Linked DNA regions of Drosophila melanogaster. The protein of the gene in region 3 interacts with the protein of the main gene of each other region in a pairwise test. Each region holds a gene or a part of one and is shown on either strand. Other genes may lie near its edges.

The links. Proteins that work in one complex are often made in the same cells at the same time.
Region 1: the proteins of CG46385 (region 3) and Dyb interact in a two-hybrid assay, tested with the Drosophila melanogaster proteins (one large-scale study listed by BioGRID).
Region 2: the proteins of CG46385 (region 3) and CG13488 interact in a two-hybrid assay, tested with the Drosophila melanogaster proteins (one large-scale study listed by BioGRID).

Annotation. Positions count from the first base shown.
Region 1 is NT_033778.4:12,434,126-12,442,724, forward strand, and holds the start of Dyb (dystrobrevin), read left to right. Parts: upstream 1-3,219; 5' UTR 3,220-3,264; coding exon of another isoform or gene 3,265-3,284; 5' UTR 3,285-3,765; intron 3,766-6,507; exon of another isoform or gene 6,508-6,610; coding exon of another isoform or gene 6,611-7,003; exon of another isoform or gene 7,004-7,012; intron 7,013-7,062; coding exon of another isoform or gene 7,063-7,064; exon of another isoform or gene 7,065-7,195; intron 7,196-8,599. Other genes in the region: DUBAI (deubiquitinating apoptotic inhibitor), read right to left, coding at 1-281, 347-1,156; Tmem18 (transmembrane protein 18), read left to right, coding at 2,072-2,131, 2,196-2,313, 2,389-2,537, 2,594-2,722; CG30334 (uncharacterized protein), read right to left, coding at 6,611-7,003.
Region 2 is NT_033778.4:21,948,722-21,955,442, reverse strand, and holds CG13488 (uncharacterized protein), read right to left. Parts: upstream 3,852-6,721; 5' UTR 3,817-3,851; coding exon 3,673-3,816; intron 3,600-3,672; coding exon 3,039-3,599; 3' UTR 2,881-3,038; downstream 1-2,880. Other genes in the region: CG13494 (uncharacterized protein), read left to right, coding at 671-1,033; CG43405 (uncharacterized protein), read left to right, coding at 1,491-1,760.
Region 3 is NT_033778.4:7,777,426-7,785,713, reverse strand, and holds the start of CG46385 (uncharacterized protein), read left to right. Parts: upstream 1-3,076; 5' UTR 3,077-3,987; intron 3,988-5,828; 5' UTR 5,829-6,249; coding exon 6,250-7,239; intron 7,240-8,288.

The sequences.
Region 1 (8,599 bases), 4.7 Mb from region 3:
CCCAGGTTAACGAGTCCAACCCTCGCATTCCGCCGACCCCACGGCTGGGCATTCTCATGCATTGCCTTTGCCAGAGCCACGCAATTCGGAGAGGGCTCATAGGTCTGCAGGGCTTTCTTGGTTGCGACATAGAGCTCATCCTGATCATAGAAACGTAGCATTAGGGCGCTGGTTAGGTCGACCAGTTGCTGCAGACATTTCTTGGTTTCCAGGCCAATCTCGTCCATGGTGGTCGACTGATTCTTCACATACTGCAGGACTCGTGGGATCCTTGGCAAGATCTAATAGGGTAACCAACCAAATGTCAATAATTATGTTGAAGCTAATGTTTGAGTGAAGTGTTTACCTTGTGAAAAACCTCGGGGGTCTGATTAATCGTTGACAGCATGTGAAACACAACCGGTGCGGCCTTTTGCCTCAGCGCCGGAAAGATCATCACGTGGAACAGCTTCTCGATGTTGTCCATTGCAATCTCGTCGAGCAGCGCCATTTTGCCCTGATCCCTTAGCCCCTTGAGCAGCGCCAGCACCCAAAGATTGAGAGTGCTGCAAAAGGTGCAGTACGTGATCCAATCACAGAGCAGGTTCACCGTCTTCTTAATGCTCGAGTCCTGCACATTCTGTTCCAGCAGCGAGTGTACAGCCTCCAGGATCTGCGTGGAGTCGAACAGCTGGAACACAATGGCCACGGCACACGAGGGTGGTGGCTCGAATGGCGACTTGGTGATCAGCTCGTAGACGACACGCAGGTAGAACATTTGGTGGAACTTCTCGTTGCGCGTAGCCAGAAAGGCACCGACCTGGCAGACGTCTTCCTTTAGGCGTGGACAGGATGCGCCTCGTGGAATTTGCAGACGGGCCAAGTCCACGATAACCCTCTCGCAGATGGCCATCACATTGTGGCCTTGCTCCGGCATATCGATGCTTTGGAGGTATGCCAGCAGGGCCTTAATATCCCGCTTGCCCGATCGGTTGGAGTTCAGGCTCTCGCCAGCGGGCGAACCCGTGTCCATGCCCTTTGGCAATACGTTCTCTTCGGCATTCGCCATTCCGTTCGCGGACATGGGTTTGGCGTTGGGCGGAATGCCGTTGCCAGCTCCTCCGGCATTATCCGAGGCATTATCACCCGCCTCGCTGTTATTCTGCTTAACGGCCATTTCGCGTTTCAATCGCTTGGCGTGGGCGTGGACGTGAGTGGCACAAAGGCTTGCGGACCACAGGGCCGACTGGAACTTCCAGTTGCCGATGGGCGGAGGCGTGGGCTTGCCTAGCGCCCGAACACAGCGGCTTTTTCGTTGCCTGCGACTCTGAGCGAGGAGTCTGAGCCGCGTGTCCTTGAACCGCGCTCCGTTACGTGTCGTCGTTACGATTTGACTGCGACCTTTCAACGGGTCTCGAGTGCGCCTCGATCCCTGCCCGATCCTGGCCAGAAACTCCCGCCACAAGCGCTTTAGAACAGAGTCCTAGACGAGTGTGGTGCACGGTAGGGTCGGTGGCCCGTGCCACATCTAAGGCGCCCCTTTTTTCGGATTACCCTGCTCGGCTTTAGCTTCGATTGCTTGCTCACACGTCGCCCGTTCGACTTAATAACCCGAATAGATTTGATTCGCCCTAAAAACTACAATTTTGACTGTTTTAAAACGAATTCTTTGTGATATTTTTCGGATTTGTTAATGTTGTCTACTGAGTCAGTGAAAGCGTTATCGACACGTTCAGACTGAATGACGGGCAGGGCGACTCTGCACGACAAGTCGGGGTGGGTGAGAATGAGGTGGCACAAAATTTGTAATTGCATTTATATGGTGAGTAATACATACTAAACGAAATAATAGTATTTTGATTTATGTTGTTATATTTAGCCCATAAAATAGTAAGTTAGGTCTTACAAACAGCGCTACCAGATCCAGTCAAAATTGAGGAAGCCTGAACGTCTATAGGCCTCCCAAAATGGCGTTGCCATGAAAAATGACAGCTGTTCGCTGCGAATGGCTATTTATGTTTGTTTTGACTCGGCTTTCGAATATATCGCAAAATATATACAGGAAACATTTATATTCACAAAAATCTGTACGATGCACCCAGGGCAAATTGAGGTCAACGAGATCAATGGCTATTGGACATTTCTGCTGAGCGTAAGATACTCGCCTATATACAATCAAAAATCAAGAATCCGGCAAGTTGTCACTATTTTTGCAGATCGATTGGAAGGATCCCTGGCTTATTGGCCTTATTTTGGCGCATATCTTAACCACCACCACTGCGCTGCTCAGCCGGAACAGCTCCAACTTCCAGGTTTTCCTCTTCCTAGTACTGTGTACGTGGACTTGGCGGCTTCCTTGACTTACCCGATAAATGACTCTGATTTTTGCATGTGCTTCATCTTCCTCAGTGCTGGCAGTCTACTTCACCGAAAGCATCAATGAGTTCGCTGCTAACAACTGGAGTTCCTTTTCCAGACAACAATACTTCGATAGCAACGGCCTGTTTATCTCGACAGTTTTCTCAATACCTATTTTGCTTAATTGCATGCTTTTGATTGTAAGTTATAGTGTTTCCACTGCATGAAGTGTGTATTTATCTTTGCTTATTTGCAGGGCACTTGGCTCTACAACTCCACGCAGCTGATGGTGACTCTAAAAACAGCGCAGCTCAAGGAGCGAGCTCGCAAGGAACGCCAGACTAAGGCGGATTCGGAATCCATAGCACATAAAAAGGCAGAGTAGAACTTACGCCTGTATTACATGCAGTTAAAAGCACAAGTAGAGCTGTGAAATTATATGTTATGCTTTAAATGGATTTTCCTGTCATCTAGATGTAGTTTGCTGCACAGCTCTCGTCTTTAAAATAAATTTAATTTAGTATAATCAAACTTATAGAATTTGTAAATTTAGGCTATTTTTACATCCTGTTTTACTTAGCGAAGTTACAAACCTAACATGCCCTTCATATTAAGCAAAAAATCACACCAGTTACCGTTGCCACCTTGGTAAAGCAGTTTTTACTGCCACCTAAAATTTTCTATATATATCACGTAATATGAACTATTTTGATATTTTTGACGAAATTAACATTATAGATCCAATCAGCTTATTGCCTGTATCAATTTCTGATCTGTGTGCCAAGACTGTAATTTCAAATTAGAAGCTCGTTGGACCTGTGTCATTTTTTAGTACGAATTCAATTGGGAGCCCTTCGTCGTCTGGTAACACTGTCCAACGATTTTGTTGTTGCTGGCTTGTGGGTGTCGAAGCAGTGTCGCGGCGCAATGTTGGAAGTGGTTTTTGGGTAAACAAAATCCGTTGATAAGATATTCGCACGGAGCTAATCGCAAATCGCGCTGCGTATTTACCGTTGGCAAGCCAGAAAAAAGTTTTGCATAGCATTGCGGTTTAAAGCCAGGCTCAAAATTCCTGCGAGCTCGCTTGTGTGTGTGCGTTTTTGCCGTCGGTGTGTATGTGTTTTGAGCCCATAAGCGTAGCCCGAAAAAAAGAAGTTTTTCTGTTACCATATTTTTTACCAAAGGCCAAAAGGGCGCAGCATCTTCGCTCTCTATCTCGGCGCTGCATCTTGCTCTCTCGTTCGCTAACGCGAGTTTGGCAACTCCGTTTACCGTTCATCGTTTATTGTGTGTAAACAGCAGGTGAAAATAAAACGCGATAAGTGCAGAGAAACAGGAGAAGGAGGAGAAAGAGCAGCAAGAAGAAGCAGCAACTCCGCGCAGCCCAACAAAAAGTGACGTATTAAAAAAGGTTGCTAATTACAAAAGGTAAACAACAAATAATGTGCGGATTATATTACCAAATTCCCGGGCATAAACAATACCAATAAAATGTTGCTAAGATTGCCCTTCCACCCCCCTCACTTACCCACTGAAATGCGTAGTAGATTTCCGCGATAGGAAAACTCGGATGAGTGACGCGTTGGCGACGCAGCGCACAGTGTTCATTCATAAAAAGTGTCTGCCCCCCTGCGCCCACTCCCAAAACACTCCCCCCTCCCCTCCACACTTTGAACCAAGCCTGTTTGTGGTTGCGCCTGGAATTTAGTTTACAACTAAATATGTTTGCGGGCAGCTAGGAGGAAAGTTCGGATTTGGTTGTTTTTGCTATGTGGGAAACCATAGTTAAACTATTTGCATTCCGTTGGAAAGTCTAGTGGTTCACGCCACGCCCCATGTTCGCTCGTTCACGAAATTATGAAATTGTGTAAATTATATTAAAAAGCTTAACGGGTATATTGATATCTCCTCTATAATACTTCATACAAGATAAGTTTAAGGAACTGAAATGTTTGAAGTTTTAATGAATTTCCTTAACTATTGCGTCTGGTTGACATCCAAGTTCGCATAGTTGAAAAATTCCATATCAAACTGAGCCGCATGCCTTAATAACTAGACCTTTTGCTCATTGAGATTAGATCACATACCGCCATATGGCAGTCGGTGAAATGATTAGCTCAGCGAATAATTAAGCGTCGTGCGAATGAAAAGTCACACACACACACACTGCAACTTGGTGTTTAGATTAGAGCATTTTGTATCTTAGCCCACCTTTGGCAATCGGTGATATCGAATAGCAGGAAAAACAATAATACGGAATTTATGGTCAGCGTGTCGCCAAAATGCCAAAGTCAAGCGAAATAAATACATAGAAATAATGAAAGAAAAAAAACAATCAAAATAACTCGGTGACATCATTTTGACTAATCGCCAATTTTAGCATTTGAAAAACGGCGGCTGCTCGCCCGGCCCACCAACAAGCGCGCGAAGGTGCGAAGGAGAGAGTCCACCAGGGAGGGGGCTGCGAGCGAGTGCGGGAGTGGGAGCGAGAATGAGAGGGGGAACACTCGTGGCAGGTGCGCCAAGCCGAAGTTCAAAACGAAGCTCAAACCCGAATGCCAAGCGGCATTCCGAACCACCTACAAGTCGGCAAGTAAAATGGATCGAATGCTCTTGCGATATCAGCGAGTTTCACTTTCGAGCCCCTCATCTATACACGAATACTATCTGCAATCGGAACAATCACTAGATAATCCCACGATCCAACATTAAGCGCATTGCTTTTATCACAGGTATTAAATCAAAGCCATGCATTTGGAAAAGTGCGCTTGCCATTTGCCAAATTTAAGTGGCTTTAATTGGCTGGTTTTTACGACTCATTGGCATTATGACGATCTTTAAATTTTACGATTAAATGCATAAATCAGGTGTTGAAGTGTAGTGCAAGTGGTTGCTACATATACCCCTACATAAATAGAATCACTCCAGAAAAATATGGCATTCAAGTTGAGTTAACTACTGGCTTGTATTGTAAGCTAAGAAATTGTTAAGTGGTAGCTATTCTCAAAAGCTTGCGCACAGGGGTGCCTTTCTTTAACTCATTATTATATCCATTTATATCCATTACGATCAAATATTCGTTATATATGGAAAATTGCCTAGCCTACCGTGACTCTATTGCCTGCCTGTTGATATTTCCCCCGCGGCAACTTCGATCCGATGCAATTAACTCGAACATATTGTGGCTCATTACGAGGGGCATTCCAATCTGAAGACGAAGCGACTCGATCTAGTTCACAGATACAGAGCTGCATACACGCATCCCACTGGTTATTTCGGTTAATTTTGATGTGTGCTGCTAAGAGCCGAGAGTGCAGAGGACTAGGCACCACTGCTCCACATCCCCAGATATTTCCGACACTACGTGCGCTGCGATGCGACGTGTCGACCGGGTGGGTGGAAATTTGGAAATGTTGTGAAAAGCTAAATGAGGCGTGACACGAAAAAGAAGGCAGAGGGGAAAAAAGAGCAAAGCGACAAACACGCAGAGCAGCATGGAAAAAAAAAGAAAAAAACAAACAAACAAACAGAGCTGAGTGCGGCCACCCACAACATGACAGCCGCCACAACAATGGCCATAGTAGCGTCGAGGAGCAGAACGAGAACGTGGTGCCCACCAAATCTAGCCACGGAGTAATTTCGGCCTAGAAAACAAAGAAAACGAAGAAAACTGCCCAGTTGTCTGCGGAAAAGACAAAGGAAGAATGGAAAACCAAGAGAGCGGAATGAAAAAGGGGGACCAATTCCGCACAAGGCGCACAATTAACCCTTTCTTTGAAGTCAGCGGCGAATGTATCCACTGTCCACTTTCCACTGGGCTTTAATTAGTTTATGGAACAAGCGTCCCGGCTCGGCTAACTGCAATAAAATTAATCGTTTATGCTGTAATCGCATTTAGCGGCGCCGACCTCCTTTCCACTCCTCTCCTCCCTACTCCTCTCCACACCGGATTCTGGCCCGGATTTCCACACCCGCAGTGGCCTCGTTTGATGTATGGGATGTACATACATTTATCGCGGGCGACAACTTTGTTCTCCATAACCAAGAGGCAGTCATGTGTGGGCATTCCATTACAGGGGATTTTCGCTAGCGATTGGAGCGTAAAGCATCTGGTTATTTTAAGACCAAGCCCATAATAATAAACCCAAAGGGCTAACCATAATTGTTCTTGCTTTACAATCAATTTTGCTCAAAAAAAAGAAAAAGAAAGAAATAACTCAAGAAACCAATTAACCGCAAACAGTGAAGTCCAGAGTCCACGAGACGTACATGCTCAGCAGCAGGAGTAGCAGGATGCGCGACAGGATTGGCCACAGCAGCCAAATCCACTGGAGCACATCATGCAGCTGTCCGCTCCGTACGGAAATTGATAGCACGGGGAATACGGGCGGGGACCACAGGACCACGATCCGCCACGAGGACCACAAGATGGCGCACAACCACCTCTGCCTCTGCCTCCACATCCACCTCTCCCTCCTCCACCGCCTTGGCCGCCTCCTCCTCCTCCGCCATAGCGGGAGTCACAGAAGGTGGTGCCAAAGGGCCCGTTACCGCCACTCCATCCGCATCTGGTGAAGCCCGAGTACTCGCCATACGGACAATCGCCGCACGCACGCTCCGGATAGGGTCCAATGTAGAACGGATTGAACTGTCTGCAGCTGGACATGTTAGCTGGCTAATATCGGAGGTCCATCAATTGGAAGGCATTCGGTATCAACTACTCACATTCTGGACTTCACTGTGCGCGGCCAGTGAGCTCCTCTATTCGGTATAATTTCGATAATCGCCTCCAACAATTGCTTCGTTATTTCCCATTAAAAGCCGAAAAGCCAACTAGACTGCCCATAAGTATGGCATTCTATGGAGCCAACTGATCCGACTGATTCGATCGACAGCGGTGGGGGTTAATATATGGCCATTGTTTCATCTGGCGCGTGTTTTGTTTGTAAACACCGATCGTGGCCAATAAATATTTGGGCATCGGACTTCCGCTTTGCGAATGGGGGGCCATAATCTAAATATTGTTTATTTACAATATATGTGAAAAGCATTGGCAAGAATAGCATTTGTATATTTGTATATTGTTTATTTGAGTTTAGTGTGCAATAATCGAACTAACTAAAGAGGGAATATTAAATATTTGTAGTAGACAACTCTGTCCACTTCAAACGTGCTTATATCAGCACAGTGGCCTCTGGCTAAGCTGCATTGATTGGTCAGATTGTTCGTCGTCGTCGTCGTTGTCGTCGTGGCAATGCCATTATGTGTGACAGTTGCATTCCAAATCTCATTATAGATTTATGCAAAGTGCAGGAGGAAAGCTTGGAGAAAGGCAGCCGACTTGCAGACTGGCCCACGATTTCCATTTTCCATATGCGTGGTGACTGTTGACCACTTGGGCCCTCGTTTGCATTGATTTGTGGGGCTTTCTTTGTCATCCCTTTTTGTGGCAACCTCTTTTTGTCTGGGATTCGATTTCCAATCGCACTCCCAATTCGATTGCAGTTCCACTTGATTGACTTGACTCTTGTCGTTGACATGGCCACAGTTTCCCAGCGCGCAAATAGAAATAGAACAAGAGGAACCCACAAGTGGGTTTGGTCCGGTTTAGCCGAATATATCTTATCGTTTGCGGTCTGTTTGCTTTGCAGATCGTTATCAACGCTGCTGAGATAGTGGAACGCATTGCAAATGGATCGTGAAATGGGGGAAAAAAAACCCGCCCACTTCAAATGCCTTGTGTCTTCTTTATTTCGTAAGAGATTCCGAGTGCGTGGGTGGCCCACATTGGGTCATTGGGTTACAACATTCAACCGACAAAGAAGACAAACAACACCACCCACATAGTGCGCCCACTTTTTAGTGGCCTTGTGCAAAACACTTTGGCCCACTTGGGTAGCGACATTCTGTCTGCTACTAGCGATTTTCGGACTCGCTTGGCCAATTAGCTGGGCATTTAGAACGCTTGCAGCTCGATAGCGTCAAATGCTCGATTTCATTACGTTTCGACCTTAGGTTTTGTTTCATGTTTTTCACGCTCGCTTTTCCGCTTTTCGCTAAGCGCACGTTCAGATGCCAAAAATAGGGCGTGACTCAGGTGATAAAGTGGAAAATATTTACTGCGAATCGTTTGCTCATCTGTGCTAATTATACTGGGGATTGTCATCGATGGATCGATGGTGTTGGCTGGTGTTGAAACGGTTGTCACACCCCGAGTTTATAAATTGTACAATATATCCACAGCTTGCAATCAGTTGCAAAT
Region 2 (6,721 bases), about 14 Mb from region 3:
TACAGTAAACAGCTCCCTATAACGAACCCAGGCGCACACGTGCGCACACTTGAAAAAAATCTTTCTACTCGCATGAATATTTTAAAGCTCGCATCACATTCAAATTATGATAATGATGGCGTGAGGCGAGGGTGTGTTTTTTGCATATGAGTTAAAGTGGGGGTGTTTCGCAGAGTGGGTGTTTGGAGCGCTAACGAGCGCAGGTACACACAGGAGCTCAGGGACAGCTCCCCAGATCCCCGTTCGAGGACCACCCCTCTCTGCCAACCCAATCCCAGTTCCACCCGCAAAATGCTTTCGTTAATGCATTTCATTAATTATTATACAATTCGAATGGGCATTGTATGACGGGTGGTGTGTTCGTGGGTTTAATGAGTACTTTTGTGGAAAGGATTTTAAGTGCGATTGATCGTTAGAAGTCGCTTCGTGTGGAAGCGTGACGAATGCACCTATGCCCATAAGCTTCTTTGCTTTTGTCTTTCGTAGATGGGGAACTTGAATATATTTAAAACCAAATATGATGCTAAATTGAAAGTGGGCACATATGAAAATTGTGCTGAAGGAGTCTTTGAATACACACTCAACTTTGCTGTCTGAATTTTTGTAATTTATTCTAATTTACAATAAGCTAAACGTTAAACATTTCAATACCGTCAACAAGTGATTAATCATGGATGACACATTATCAACGGTAGAAGGCGGGATGACGGAAACATCCTCATGGAGCACCACGATCGCCACCACCACCACTACAGAGGCCGCCAAGGCGGGTAGCATGGCTGTCGGTATTATTGTCCTGATCGTTGTTATGGTGCTCCTCTGCTGCCTGCTCATCATCTGCCTGCCGCTCCTCTGCCTGTGCGGCTGTTGCGGACTCGCCTGCTCCGCGTGCCTCGCTTGCGACGAAGGATGTTGTGGTGAAGGCGGCGGCGGTGGATGTTGCGGCGATGACGGCGGTGGATGTTGCGGCGATGGCGGCGGGTGTGGCGATTGTGGCGACGGCTGTGGGGACTGCACCTTGGACGATGATTAATTCGGCGATAATTCAAGTTTCTATTAATATGTACGTAGTGCTAGGATATGCGATTCGAAAGCCTATAAATTTAATGTGCTCAGGTACAGATTCGTTAGGAGCATCCGTATGCTCATTGGCAAAATTGTTGTCTATTCATAAAAAATAAAAAAATCTAGCTTAATTTTGAAATGATATCTATTAACTTAATATATGGCAACCAAAAATCAAATTTAAAGTACAAAAAAATATCGACTTCAGTAAGCTGCGACTGTACTCTTAAAATTAAAAAAAAATCTATACCCAAAATAAAATTTCTGAAGGGTCAGGGTCATCGAAATTCTTAAGCTGCTATGCAAGGAACGGTGAGAAGCATTCGTTAATTTAATGTGATTTTCCTTATACATATTTCCTTCCATTTAGAGGGTTCAATCTATTATCGAAAGCAACAAAATTTGCAATTTATTTCCCATAAGCTATGGCCGAGTTGGATGCTACAACCCTATCTGAATACGATATTGAATATATAGACTTTAACATGACAACTGTGGCGTACCGTACAACCACTGGACACCCGGATACTAACCTAGGTGCTTGGGGACTTTTGTTCATATTCGTCGTAATTTTTCTTATCATTGCTGCCTGCTGTGCTTGTATGGGTGTTCTCGTCCTTTTTGGTTGTATGAAGTCCTTTCTCTGTTTTCGCTGTAGACGCCGAGGCGACGAGTTTATAGGAAGGGAACCCTGACTGTCGTTGAAATTCTGTCATTAAAACTGAAACTTGTGCTAATAAAATTATATGTTTTGTATGAATCGAAGTCCAAAGGAATTATTTTGCCGACAAATTAATGCGGTCCTGCCAAATTACGGCAGAGTAATTGGAAAAGGATGTACTGAAGTTCAATATAACATTAACCAAACATAATTCTAAGGAGAAACGTCAGGACTTACCAGATTCCTGGACAAGTGGCATCTACCAGTAGAGAATCCTTGGCCAAAGTGCCAGTGTGACAAATGTAAACCGATTAGCCACAGCTGGGGCCGATTATCAGATGGCCCAAAGAAAATAGCCCAGGCCCTACAGAAAATGCCTCAGGTCAGGAATTTCCAGAGCTTTCTCTGCGGACTGTGGACTATGGACTGAGTGCATAAATTCCTGGCATCTCCTGCAGCTGCAGGAAAGACACAAAACACTCGCCCAAGTCCAAGTCGTAAATGCACTCAGCACTTTGTCAGCTCTCAGACAGGAAATGCAGTTGCCATTTTTCTTTCATCCCAGCAAATCCCGTTCACCTCCTGCCTTTGGCCCCCGCCCGGAAAGTCGTTCTGCAACTGTCTACATTTTTCACTTGCCATCCATAAAAAGTATCAGTTTTAGTTTCAGTTTTAGTCCTCGCTTGGCTAAAAGTCTCGTATGTCTTTTGCCTGTCTGTTGGCTCTGTTGTTTTGCTGTCTCAATTTCGCCAACGCTTCCATATTCAGTTTCATAATTTTTACCCAAGTTTATCATCCTCTTTGCCAGGCATGACAAAGTTTTCATTGCCGTCGACACAGGGCCTGGAAAAAGTTTCCTCCAGCTGTGAAGTGCATTAAACAATGCCCTCATACATGATCCGAGTGATGAGGAAGGGGACGTGCTGTGCTAAAATTGCATTTATCGAGGGGGAGTAAGTGCAAGGACACAAAAGGATAATAGCTTCGATGCACTTTCTTACTGCCAGGCGTTGGTACATGTTCAATTTACAAATGCTATGAATACGTTTTCTTTTATAAAGAACATCCACTTTCTAGCCAAGGAACTGCTTAACATAGCAATAATAAATATTACTAAAATACATTCTTAATGCAAATTCAAACTTCGTTCTTATATTGCTTTCATTGATAATACCTCAAGGTCATGGCCGGTTATATTTAAACCACAAACATTCTCTTGCTCCACCCACCCATAAATAATGTTTATAACTCTTCTTATCACTAAACGGCATATCGTATTGCCTAACAATTCGTTCACCCGGGCCGCCGCACTCTAATCTCTGAAATTTCCCAGCCATTTGACGAATTCCCTCAGCTTCTCCAATCTTCGGGGTCCGCCACGAGTCAAGATTTTCCTCCACCTGCGCTCCACAGCCAAACGATCCTCCCTGTCTATGGACTCCAGGTGCTTCCTCAACTTCCGGTATATCAGCTTCTGAAGCTGGGATGTCCGGGTCTGAACCGTGCGCTTCCATCGATCGAATCCGTTGCGCTGCAAGCAAAGCGCAATCAACTGGGTCTCGATACTGGAAGTTCTCAGTGGATCTCCCGTGGTATCCGAATCTAGATAGTCCTCAATCACGCCATAGAAGGCATTTAGCTTCTGCTCCGTTTTATTCGCATTTACGGCAGTGAAGGCATCGAAGCGATCCAAGTAGCCCAACAGAATGGAGTTCTGCGAGTCCAAGACGATCAGATCTTCCACCACATAGTCCACCAGCTCGATTGCCTGGGAAACTAGCTGAGTGCTGATTGTTTGCAGAGCGTAATCTGATTGCAAATACAACCGATAGCGACTTCGATCTCCATAGGTATTGATCAAAGAAGGGGTCAGCTGGAATAATATGAAAGCATTTATATTCAAGCCATAGTTAGTATGAATTGAGTGTTATAAAATGTTAATTAACCAAGCTACACATGTTGGATGATTTATTGCTGTAAAGCTTTTGTTCTGATTTTAAATGTACAGTTGTATGTTTTAATTTAACGATGTTTCGTGTATATTCGATACCCACCACGAGTAGAAAACCTAGTAAATTCTGATAGCTCATGGCCGACTTGTTCCCTCGAAAGGCGTTCGTCTACTGAACATACTCTACTCAATACTCAATAAACTGGGAAACAGAGCAAGTCGTAGATAGTCTTATCTATCTGAAATTTCCATGTTGAAGGTTGGCGCTTGTCCAAAGGAAATAAATTATTTATAATTTCATAAAGATGACACATGACGTCATCAAGTCAATGACGTTTCGTAGGTGAAGAACCGGCAGATAAGTGATAGGAGGAGGTTTATTGGACTTAAATTTATGAATGGACGCCGCCGGGGGCCAGACAGTAGTTATCTGCATTTAACAATGATTTCGATTCAGGCAAGCGTCTGAAGAGTTTTAGCCACTGGCTCTTTATCTCTCACAGAGAGCAAATAACCCACCCAAAGCGGTGAGATATGTGCCCAAATCTAAATCGCTTAGCAACTGAAGATGGCCAGCGAGTGCGGCAGAAAAAGGCGAAAGCTTGACAGCGAAACTATTCATTGCGTATACGCTGCTTGGGCCGTAATAGCAGTGAAATAAAAGTCCACTTAGTCAGCAGTGTGACGGGCAGTGGAAGAGAAGGGGTAGGGAATGGGGGAAGAGGTTGAGGATGCGATATGGGGGGTCATTCATTGTGCTGGGGTCAGACCCTCAGGACAATCGCCTGTATCCGTGTGTGTGCCGTTGTGATAAATGCTTGAACTGGGTCAGTGGCGTACGATGATGAAACTCTGAGCGCCAAAATGGCAAATAAAACGCCGATTGTTCGTATCAGAGTTTCAAATGAAATCCTCTATCCCTGCCCCACAATAAATGCCTCGCATTTGGAGTTTTCGAGTGGCCGACAAATCCCCAATGCGCTGCGCTCAGCAACGAACTGCAATTTCAACTTTGATAAGCGAAGTTTAGTGCAAAAATCCAAAAAAAAAGGGAAATAAAAAAATCACCATCACCCCCGCCATATGACAATGTTATTAGCGTAGTTTTTGCGATTTCCAGGGATTTAAAGCGTTTTTATGTCCTTTTTTTTTTTGTGCGGCTAGCGTTGCGATGGTAACTTTTCAGTGCCGCATCCAAATCCTGATGGATGCGAAAGCGTTGAACCGGTCTAAACTTAATTGGGAATCTGTGCGAAAGGGTGAAGTCCCTGGGATTGTTCAGAATTCCGCAGCCAAAAAATCAAGGGAACATCATCAAGCCCGAAGACTGCTAAACAATTACGTCCTTTGGGGCTGAGAAATCCCAGCGCCTTTTATATGGCGAAACAATAACCGAGAACTTTGCCTCCGGCGAAACAGCCGCCTAACACAAGTGCTATAAATTGCCTCAACAACGCCTGCTGTTTCTCCGCCCAACCATTTCCCCTTTATCAACTCCCCAACCGTTGCATGCAAATTTCAATAACTTGTATTCGGTAACCCTTCCAACAACTGACACTGAATATCAAATATGAGTTGGGGCCAAAAATTATTTGCATACTTTCGGGGATGCTTTGCAGCACTCCAAAAAACAAGAAGAGCGAAACAAAAATTGAGATAATATGCATAGTGCGTTCTGCCTAGGCTCAAAATACCCTTTCTTTTTTTATTGAATACTTTATGATCTATACCATACACCATTTGAAAATAAAAACTATTTTCTTTTGCTTAGCCATGCCAGAAAGAACTTAAAGCTGAGAGTAACACAAGTACCTTAATGGTTTTAAATTTTTTTTAAATTTAAAACTTATTCAACATAACTAATTTCTATAGAGTATTCCAACCGAAGAGGAAGGAACCCACAGGAAGTACAACCAGACTCGCACATGTGGCGCGCTTTGGTTTCGGTGGGGGGATGAAAGCCCTAAACAGGAGCAAAAAAGGATACAGAAGCGAAAAAAGAGGAATCGCTACATGCCTTTGTAAGGGGGTGTAAACAGCAGAAGCAATCCTTTTTTTTTCGTTACACCGAAACGAGTTATTTATTGCATTTGCAAATTTTACACAACATTTTGCAGTTACCTCAGTGCCGTAAAATCCGGTGCTCTCTCCACTTTTCCACCGCAAAAGGTGGAGCCGAAGTTTATCGCGGTAAAAATTGATTCAGTTTGTACACAAATTTGCATGTGTATCGCGGTAGCAGACTCCTCCTCGGGCTTTGTGTAATGCGAAGCTGCAAGTTCAATGAAGCCAAAAGGTGTTGCCTTCCCATCCCTCAAGCCGTGAAATGGATGTGCAAATATTTTCATAAATTTGTATGCCAAAGTTTCAGGTGTCATGTTTGAAAATATCCCAGAGATATTTCGAAATTCCAAAAAAAAAAAAAACGAGAGAAGAGTGCTGGAAATTTGAATTTTGCGGTGTCAATGAAAATTTGATTTTTTACATTCTTGCTTGAAAAATTGCAGCGATAATTTTTGATAGAGTTGTAAATTTCAGTTTGATTCGGAGGAAGCGGTTTATGAAATTGCAACATAATTTATTGTATGGCATAAATATCTTGGAATTTCTTGTGACATTTTGATAAGTGCAAAATTTCTAGGAGCTGTTCGTATTAAATGGAAAAGTTAAGTGAGCATTTTTTTCGTTTAACGATTTGATTTCCCTTTCATTGCTGTTGTTGCAACTCTTACTTTTTGAACCCTTTCCTGAGGATATTTTCCACAAAAAATGTAACTAATTCGCATGTCCTTCTGGTTGCCACTTATCTCTGCTGCTGTTATTTGCTGAAATATGGGGGATGTCAGGCCAAATAAAGGTGACCAATAAAAAGTGTGGCCAAGATAAGCAAAGTGGTGCAGACAAAGCCCGCAAAACAAAACCGAGGGAAAAAAGGCGACTGAAACCAGGTTGGAAAGCTGAACAAAAGCTGGCTATGATTTAAGTTTTTTTATTTCCTCCTCGCGCCAGCAAAATTGATCAAGATATATAGGTGTATTTTGCGG
Region 3 (8,288 bases):
CTTAATCTAATGTTTTCTTATCGTGAATTCATTGTTGGCTTAATCTTATGTTTTCTTCTTGTCCATCGAAGATAGATGCATTTGTACGAGTATGTAATAAAGAAAAATAAAAACATATTCTGAATTTTGAATTTGTAATGATATATTTTCCCATTACTTAAGCTTAGTTAACTTAGCTTATTTAACAAGTAAACACGAGGAAACGCAGGTCAATATTTGAAACATTCGTTTGAAATACTACTGATACAAAATAATATCAAAACACTTTTCGAAAGTGTGCGCGTAACAGTTTTGAAAGGTTTGTGAATTATAGAGTGGGCGTGCCAATCTTACATAGCGTAGAATCTATGTACATACCCTCTAGCTTATATAGTTTTTTATTTGTTGATCGGGATGTTTATACGGACAATCGCTTCAAATGGTTACACATGCTTCTCAACGAATCAAGTATCAGGTGTAAAATCTTCATTTTCTGCAGCCCAACTTAGGAAAGTTACCCCAAGACAAATGTTTGTGGCTACGCCGCTGCATTTCGTTGGCTTCCCGCAGCAACATCAAACAACCATAGATACCATTTACTGCCCATCTGACATAATCTCTTGGTTAAACATTTCCCCAGCCAGTTGCCTGGCTTCCATCTCGATTCCATCTTCATTTCGCTGCCAACGAGCCAGCAGAACGGTCATGAGCCCAGGAATCGTTAGCCAGGAGGTAAACGGCCGCCAGGAGCCAACAGAAGCTGCGAGGGACGAGAGACATGGACGACGGCGCCGGGTGGCGGTTATTGGAGCAGGACTTGTGAGTGTAACAAAGTTATTTGAAGTATACAATTATTACTCTGCGAAAGCATAAATAGATTGTGGGTCTATAAATATAGCGAATGAAATTTAGTGTTAATCATTAACAAAATAATATATAGTCTATATTTAGAGTAGACCGTAGTACGGTTATAAACAGGCAATAATTCTAGTTAAGCTTCATAATATCTAAAACTAAGCTTTGCTAATTTGCTAAAATACACATCATAGTAGTAGAATTATAGAATTCGAATTCTTTTCGAATCATTCCTAAGTAATCTTTAAATTATGCTGCATTTTGATGTGTCTTCACATATGTAGTTAGATGCGTTATCTTTAGTGTTTTTAAATCCCTGCTTCCAGATATAAGGCTCTTATCACGCTTTCTACGCATCTTATTCTCCATAACACTAGGTGGGTTCTCTGGCAGCCTTGAACTTTGCCCGCATGGGCAACCACGTGGATTTGTACGAGTACCGGGAGGATATCCGCGAGGCCCTAGTGGTTCAGGGCAGGAGTATTAACCTGGCTCTTTCGCAGCGTGGCCGTAAGGCGCTGGCCGCCGTGGGTCTGGAGCAAGAGGTGCTGGCCACCGCCATACCCATGCGAGGCAGAATGCTCCACGATGTGCGAGGAAACTCCAGTGTGGTCCTATACGATCCCATTAACAATCAATGCCTGTACTCCGTGGGACGTCGACAGCTGAACGAAGTCCTTTTGAATGCCTGCGATAAGCTGCCCAATATACGCTGCCACTTCGAGCACAAGCTGACAAGTGCCAATCTGCGAGAGGGATCCATGGAGTTCCGCAATCCCGCCAAGGAAGCCGTAGCTGCCCATGCTGATCTTATAGTCGGCTGCGATGGTGCCTTCAGTAGTGTGCGCCAGCACTTGGTCCGTTTGCCGGGCTTCAACTACTCCCAGGAGTACATAGAAACGGGGTATCTGGAGCTCTGCATACCCTCGAAATCGGGAGACTTCCAGATGCCTGCCAACTATCTGCACATATGGCCGCGTAACACCTTCATGATGATTGCCCTGCCGAATCAGGATAAGTCTTTCACGGTCACGCTGTCCATGCCCTTTGAGATCTTCGCTGGCATTCAGAATCAAAACGATCTCCTGGAATTCTTTAAGCTGAACTTCCGGGACGCACTGCCACTGATTGGAGAGCAACAGCTCATAAAGGACTTCTTCAAGACCAGGCCACAGTTTCTGGTGTCCATCAAGTGCCGGCCGTATCATTATGCGGATAAGGCACTGATCCTGGGCGATGCCGCCCATGCGATGGTTCCGTACTACGGCCAGGGTATGAATGCTGGAATGGAGGATGTCACGCTGCTCACCGACATTTTGGCCAAGCAGCTGCCACTGGACGAGACGTTGGCCCTGTTCACCGAATCCCGCTGGCAGGACGCCTTCGCCATTTGCGACCTGGCCATGTACAATTATGTGGAGGTGGGTTTTTGGAACTAGAATTTATATAGTTTCAAATTATATTTCATTCTTTTTTCTCTACCTTGCAGATGCGAGACCTGACCAAACGTTGGACATTCCGGCTGGACCTACTACTCAAAAGCTCTAAAAGCTTTTCTTCGCCGAAGGTAGAAAGACATGGATGGTTTCGAGTATTTAAAGAGGGGGAGCTTAGTATGGTCAGAGAGCGAGAGAGACAGCGAGCTGCTCATTTCCGACTTAATTGTTGTTGCTAATTCCGTTTCGCGAACTTTTCGATGGCACTCTCTAGAATTGTCGGCGCCTCCGCTTTGCCCACACTCACTACAGTGGAACGTCGACGAGAATAAGATTTATATGATATGCAGTTAATCACGTACATAATCCTCTTACAAAATGGCGTGTACATAAAACTTAAGGTATGAAAACGTATTTAAACTCTAGAAACTTCCAGATAGTGACAAACCATTATTTACTAATGTTAATTATACAATGAACGGTGCCGAATGTCTTGTTTATGGTTTTGTATTCAACTAGCGTAAAATGTATCGAACGTTAATAGAGATTAGACTTTAAGAACGTTGAAAATTAACCTATTAATGGAATCGAATAATAACTCTTATTTTTCTGAACCCAATAGCTGTGAAATAAAAATATACATATGTATGTGTTTTAGCCACTTTTTATTTAAAACAAATGGCCAGTGATTTCAATGAGTGCCCTTTCTAAGTGAAAGTACTTTTAGGCAGGCCTTACTGTACCCACTGTACCGCTGCCGCCGTCGCGCGTCTTCGCCTGGCCGGCGGACCAATGGAGCAGGCCAGCGCCATCAGTTGCTCGTCACATGTTCGACACTCAAGTAGACCAAACACAGGGAGCTGTACAGTGCCCACCGAGATCCGATCGAACGCAGAGCAGCCGTTAGACAGAATATTGACTTTAGCAACTCACCAGGAGTTCAGTTAAACTTGCACAAACTAAAAATTCCCATAATCCAACCGGAATATCGCTCTTTTTAGGCAGGTGCAAGTGCAACTTTGTTCAGCCCTTTTTGCTGTTAAATCGAAAAACCACATTCTCGAAGCTTTTGGGCAAGCTTCCGCAAAACGAAACGATCGAAACGCGTGGTCCGAAAGCAACGAAGCAAATACGGCAACAGGCGAGCGAAAAAGTGAAATTGAAATAATTCCAAATCAAAAATCAAATTCCAAATCGAAAATCGCAAATCACAAAGTTGGAAGTTGAGTGAGCGAACGCGTGTGTTTGTGTTTGTGCGTAAGTGTCCCTCAGTGTGTGCAGTGCAACGGTATCGTAAGACGAAAAGTAACGGTAACCGAGCAATTGGGGTGTAAGCTGTCAGAATCTGTGCGCAGAGAAAACCGAAAGTTTTGGCTTGTTACCTTGCCGTAGTAATCCAAAATCAAAACCGAATACCGGATTCACCGATCGCCATCCTGGCCCGCCCTTCGACTTTAGTTTAAGGCGCTCTGCCAGCGGTTCGCCGGAACGGTAAACTCCCCCCACACCCTGCTGCCCGTCGTCGTTAGCATACCGATACCGATAGACCACCGCCGATAGCGATACTTTGGAAATTCAGCAATCCGTGCCCCACTTTAGCTAGGATTCTGTTCGGTTTTAACCCTACGAAGAAGGAGCACCCGGCGGCGGAACCCGAAGCCGTTCTGCGTAATTTTGGATAATGCGCGACTAGGCACGAGCTGTCCGAATTGTTCAGGTAAATACATTCGTACATATATATGCATATAGGTGCACACACAATCACCGTTATTGATCTCGCTCAATTAGTGGGTCTACGTGACTGCAGCGCCGATTCTCAGGGTCCGGGGTATTCGCAGATCGCATCGTGCCGCATGGTGTTGTATTCTGTTCTGCCTATAATGAAAAGCAAACCAGAAATGCGGATAACAATCTAGGCACACACCACAGCATACACCTTTCCCTCCATCTTCCCCTTCCACCCCCCTGCTCATCACTTTTGGGTCTCGGTTAGTCTTGGCATCTGGCATTTCCGGTTTCGCTATTTTTTGTCGGTGTAGATATGTATGTATGTACAATATGTAGATGAAAACACCTTCAGATATTATTCAACCCGAAATCCTCTCAAAGTGGTTTGGTTTCCTATATTTTCATTGCAGTACATATTTTGAGTACATATGTACATACATACTTAATGCAAAAAAAATAACTTAAAACTAGAATTCGAAACCAAAATTTTGCATTTAAAGATGAAACATCAATTTGTATATTTGGTGCATTTTTGTTGTTCTTAAAATAAACAATTTAATCAATCTTTTTCTTACATTTAAATATAAAACGTTTGTACTCTCTTGAATAAATAAACTTCGTAGAACACTTGCTGTGGGCAAAAGTTCAATAACAATGCAATTTAACGCACGTGGGAACCCCAAATGTTGTTATTAGTATTTATTTGACACAAAAACTAATATGTTAGCTCGTTAGACAAGAATAATTATCGTCGTTCTTACGTTCATCCATCACTTTTGGGTTCAAGAACGGTTAGTGTTCGATAATTCTGGAAAAGCACTTAACTGATTTGAAAGAGATCAGTTTGAATTTCTCTCATTGCGATTGAGTCATAAAGTCTGGTAAATAACAATAAGAGTAGCCCGAGAACTGTTTTATTTCTATACCCTTACAGAGGGTATCGTAACTATTCTCATAAATTCATTGGATTGGTTCTGACCCATTTGTACATACAATTTACATACTTACATATATCCATATCCTATTGCTACTGATAAACTTCAGTAGATGCTAGCGAATTTTGAACTTAAGGCGATTTAAAGAGTATAAAATATTTAGACGGATTTCGCGCACTTTTAAAGAGTTTAATGAGCAATCTTAGCAGTTTATGGGGAGTCAAAGTTATTGATCTTGTGGTCAGTTTAGCAATCATCACACATTTACTCGGCGACTCGGTGTCGAAAGGAAGAGCAAGGGGAAAAAATAAAGCATTCCGATACGAAAACTTACATCATCGGTCTGGGGGATAGAATGAGATGGAGGGATCAAAAGAGGGAGAACCAAATGGCAAGCATTTACATACCAACAAACATGGCACAACGGCATATGTACATACATATGTACGTATGTATGTACATGTTTTTATATATTATGCGCTATTTTTCGGCTTTTTGTTTTTGCTTTTTCGAATGAACGCAAGAAATAAGTAATACGAATTGCGCGTTTGAAAATGGTGGAGACTTTTATACTTTTAGCTCCTTTAGGAACCCACAGCAGTTAATCAAAAACAAAATGTGTGATAAAGACTCACAAAAAAAAGGGGTGGATGGGCACATGTGAGGAATACGCTTTCATAAGTGATTTTGGCTTCATTAAAATAAATCAAATGCATTTAGTACAAATAAGCAAAGTCTCGAACGGAATGGCGAAAACAATTGTTCGAGAAAGCAAATAACCAATAACTAATTTTGTTTCTTCCCCTTTCTCTTTTCTCTCTTTACATGGTGATCGCTGCCGCTCTCTCCCTCTCTCACTTGCTTATCTTGCGGTAAATGTCATCCAAACCAAAAGGGGTAGCAAAACGAAGAACAGCAATTTCGCCGAAAAGACGCAGTTAAAAAAAAGTGTTAGCAAGTGAGAAACAACATTCGTGAATTTCGTGATTAAAAACATTTCAAAAGGTGTACAACAAAAGCTCATTTAATATAAAAATAAAAAGAACGTAAGCGAAATATACAAAATATAATATCGCAGCGCGCCAACAACAAAACGTGGCACCACAAACTAAAAACACAAAAAAAGCTCAACGAAAACGAGAGCGAATGCGCGAGCGCGAGTGAGAGGGCCAGATAAGCGGAGACAAGAGCGACAACAACAAAACACAAGCGCAAGCACGATCCAAAAGCCAATTGCGCACGGAACGTAGAACGCAGAGAACTAACGGAACTGTAGAAGCGCAGCACGGATAACAGTTAACAGGGGCAATCCAAAAATGGTAAACAAGAAGGCGGACAAGGACAAGGAGAGGCAGCAAGAGGCAATGTTGCCGGCGGCGGGCAAGAATAGCAGCAACATTGAAAACAGCAGCAAACTTAGCAACAACAACAACTACAACAACAACAAAACAAACAAGGGCCAATCCACAAAGCCTAACAGCAATAACAACAGCGGCAACAACAAAAAGAATGCAGGCAAAGGAAATCAGCAGCAGTCGCAGCGCAGCGGCAAGAAAGCGAAGCCGCAACGCCAACAGATATTCCTACAGTCGCTGCCACGCGACAGCAGCAACTACAGAAGCAACAGCTTCAGGAACAGCATCGACATAAACAGCAACAGCAGCAACATGAGCAGCAAGAGCAGCAGCAACATGAGCAGCAACAGCAGCAACATCTCGGACACATTGGCAACATTGGACAGTGGAGTGGGAAAAATTAATCCCGCTGAACTGCTGACAGCCGCCTTGGCCGTGCCCTGTGCCAAATGCTCCAAGCCATCGATGATCTCCGGCCTGACCACCGCCGTAACCGCATCCACAGTCCCCGCATCCGCATCCAGCTCTTCCGCTTCTGCCTCCTCCTTTTCGTCGTCGTCAACCAGTTCCGGATCGGAGACCGCCAGCAATCACAGCGATCTCCATTACCCGGAGCCGGTTGTCTACTCCGCCAAGCAGTATCGCAAGTCCAAGTCCTACATGGGCGTATCCCAGTACAACAGCTCACAAAATGGCCATCAAGCGGGTCGGGCGCCCAATACCGCTGGCGGTGGTAATGGCAACCACGTGGCCTATAGACGCTCCCACAGCGACCGACGCAACTCGTTCGATCGCAGCTTCGCCGAAAGGAATCGTGACTTTGTGCCCATCGTCCCACCGCCGCGTCCGGTCCTGTCCTCCTCCAACATCGCCGGAGTCATGGCCAGCACCACCAAGCTGACGATCATAGAGCGGCTCGGCAAAGGACGTCTCGCGTATCCCATAATGCAGGTGAGTCCAGAACGGTTAGCACAGATATTGTCTAGAAGTAAGTTTAAGTTATTTATTATTCGATGGGCGGGGTGTGTGCTGTTTATTTGCGTTGACGAACTTATTTATTGGCACAGTTGGCAGTTTGACTTTAGTGTATCTGCTATCTGCTATCTTTAGAATATAGAGTTTGAAAACCTGCAGGCTAGGTGGTGAACTTGAATAGTAGATCTTAGCTTAAGCCCAAAAAAAAAAAAAACGACAGAACCTTTGACTCGGGGAAAAACGTGGAAAGAAATCACCGCATTTCTTGGAAAATTTATTGATTTATATCACAATATATTCTGAAAACGAAAGTACTCAATTATGGGTTTAGAACAGGAAATACCACAGAAAAATGCACATTGAAATATGATAAAATGTAGTTATTTATAGAATATCTTCGAACTTAGTTGTGATTTTCAAGTGCAAATGGTATGATTTTGATAAGGTAATGCGCATTGCATTTATAGTTCGGCTAGACGGTCACCATTAGGCATTAGAGATGCTTGGGAGTACATATTGATGGAATGGATAGACTTAAAACTAATAATGGCCCCCAAACTTTCGTAACTTTCCATACGTGAACTGTTGACACCTTTCGAGAAGTTTGCGCTCTAATCAGCTTCTAGCGGCTACCGAAGGAAGCAGCCATAATTAATGGCACACAAACAAGAACTTTGATAAGGGAAAAGAGGCAGCAAGGCAAGTGCTTAGTCATCCATATATTTTTGATAAGCTGATTTCATTTCGGGAGTTGCGAAATGGAGCCCAAACTATACTGCACAACTTGAGGCGAACAATCTAAGACTTCTCACCCTGATTTGTGGGCTTTTTTTTATTTTTTGCAATTGTTTTGCAGTTTGTTATCTCCTCCCTTTGTACGAGTAGTATATTCTTTTTGTTTGCTATTTACGGTTATGCACTTGGCAGAATATTACGTATACGCCCTGGCCGACAGCGGCATTTTGTCGGCAGCGATTTTGTGCAATCGAGAGAGGCGAATGCGATGCTAATATACGGAAATACCG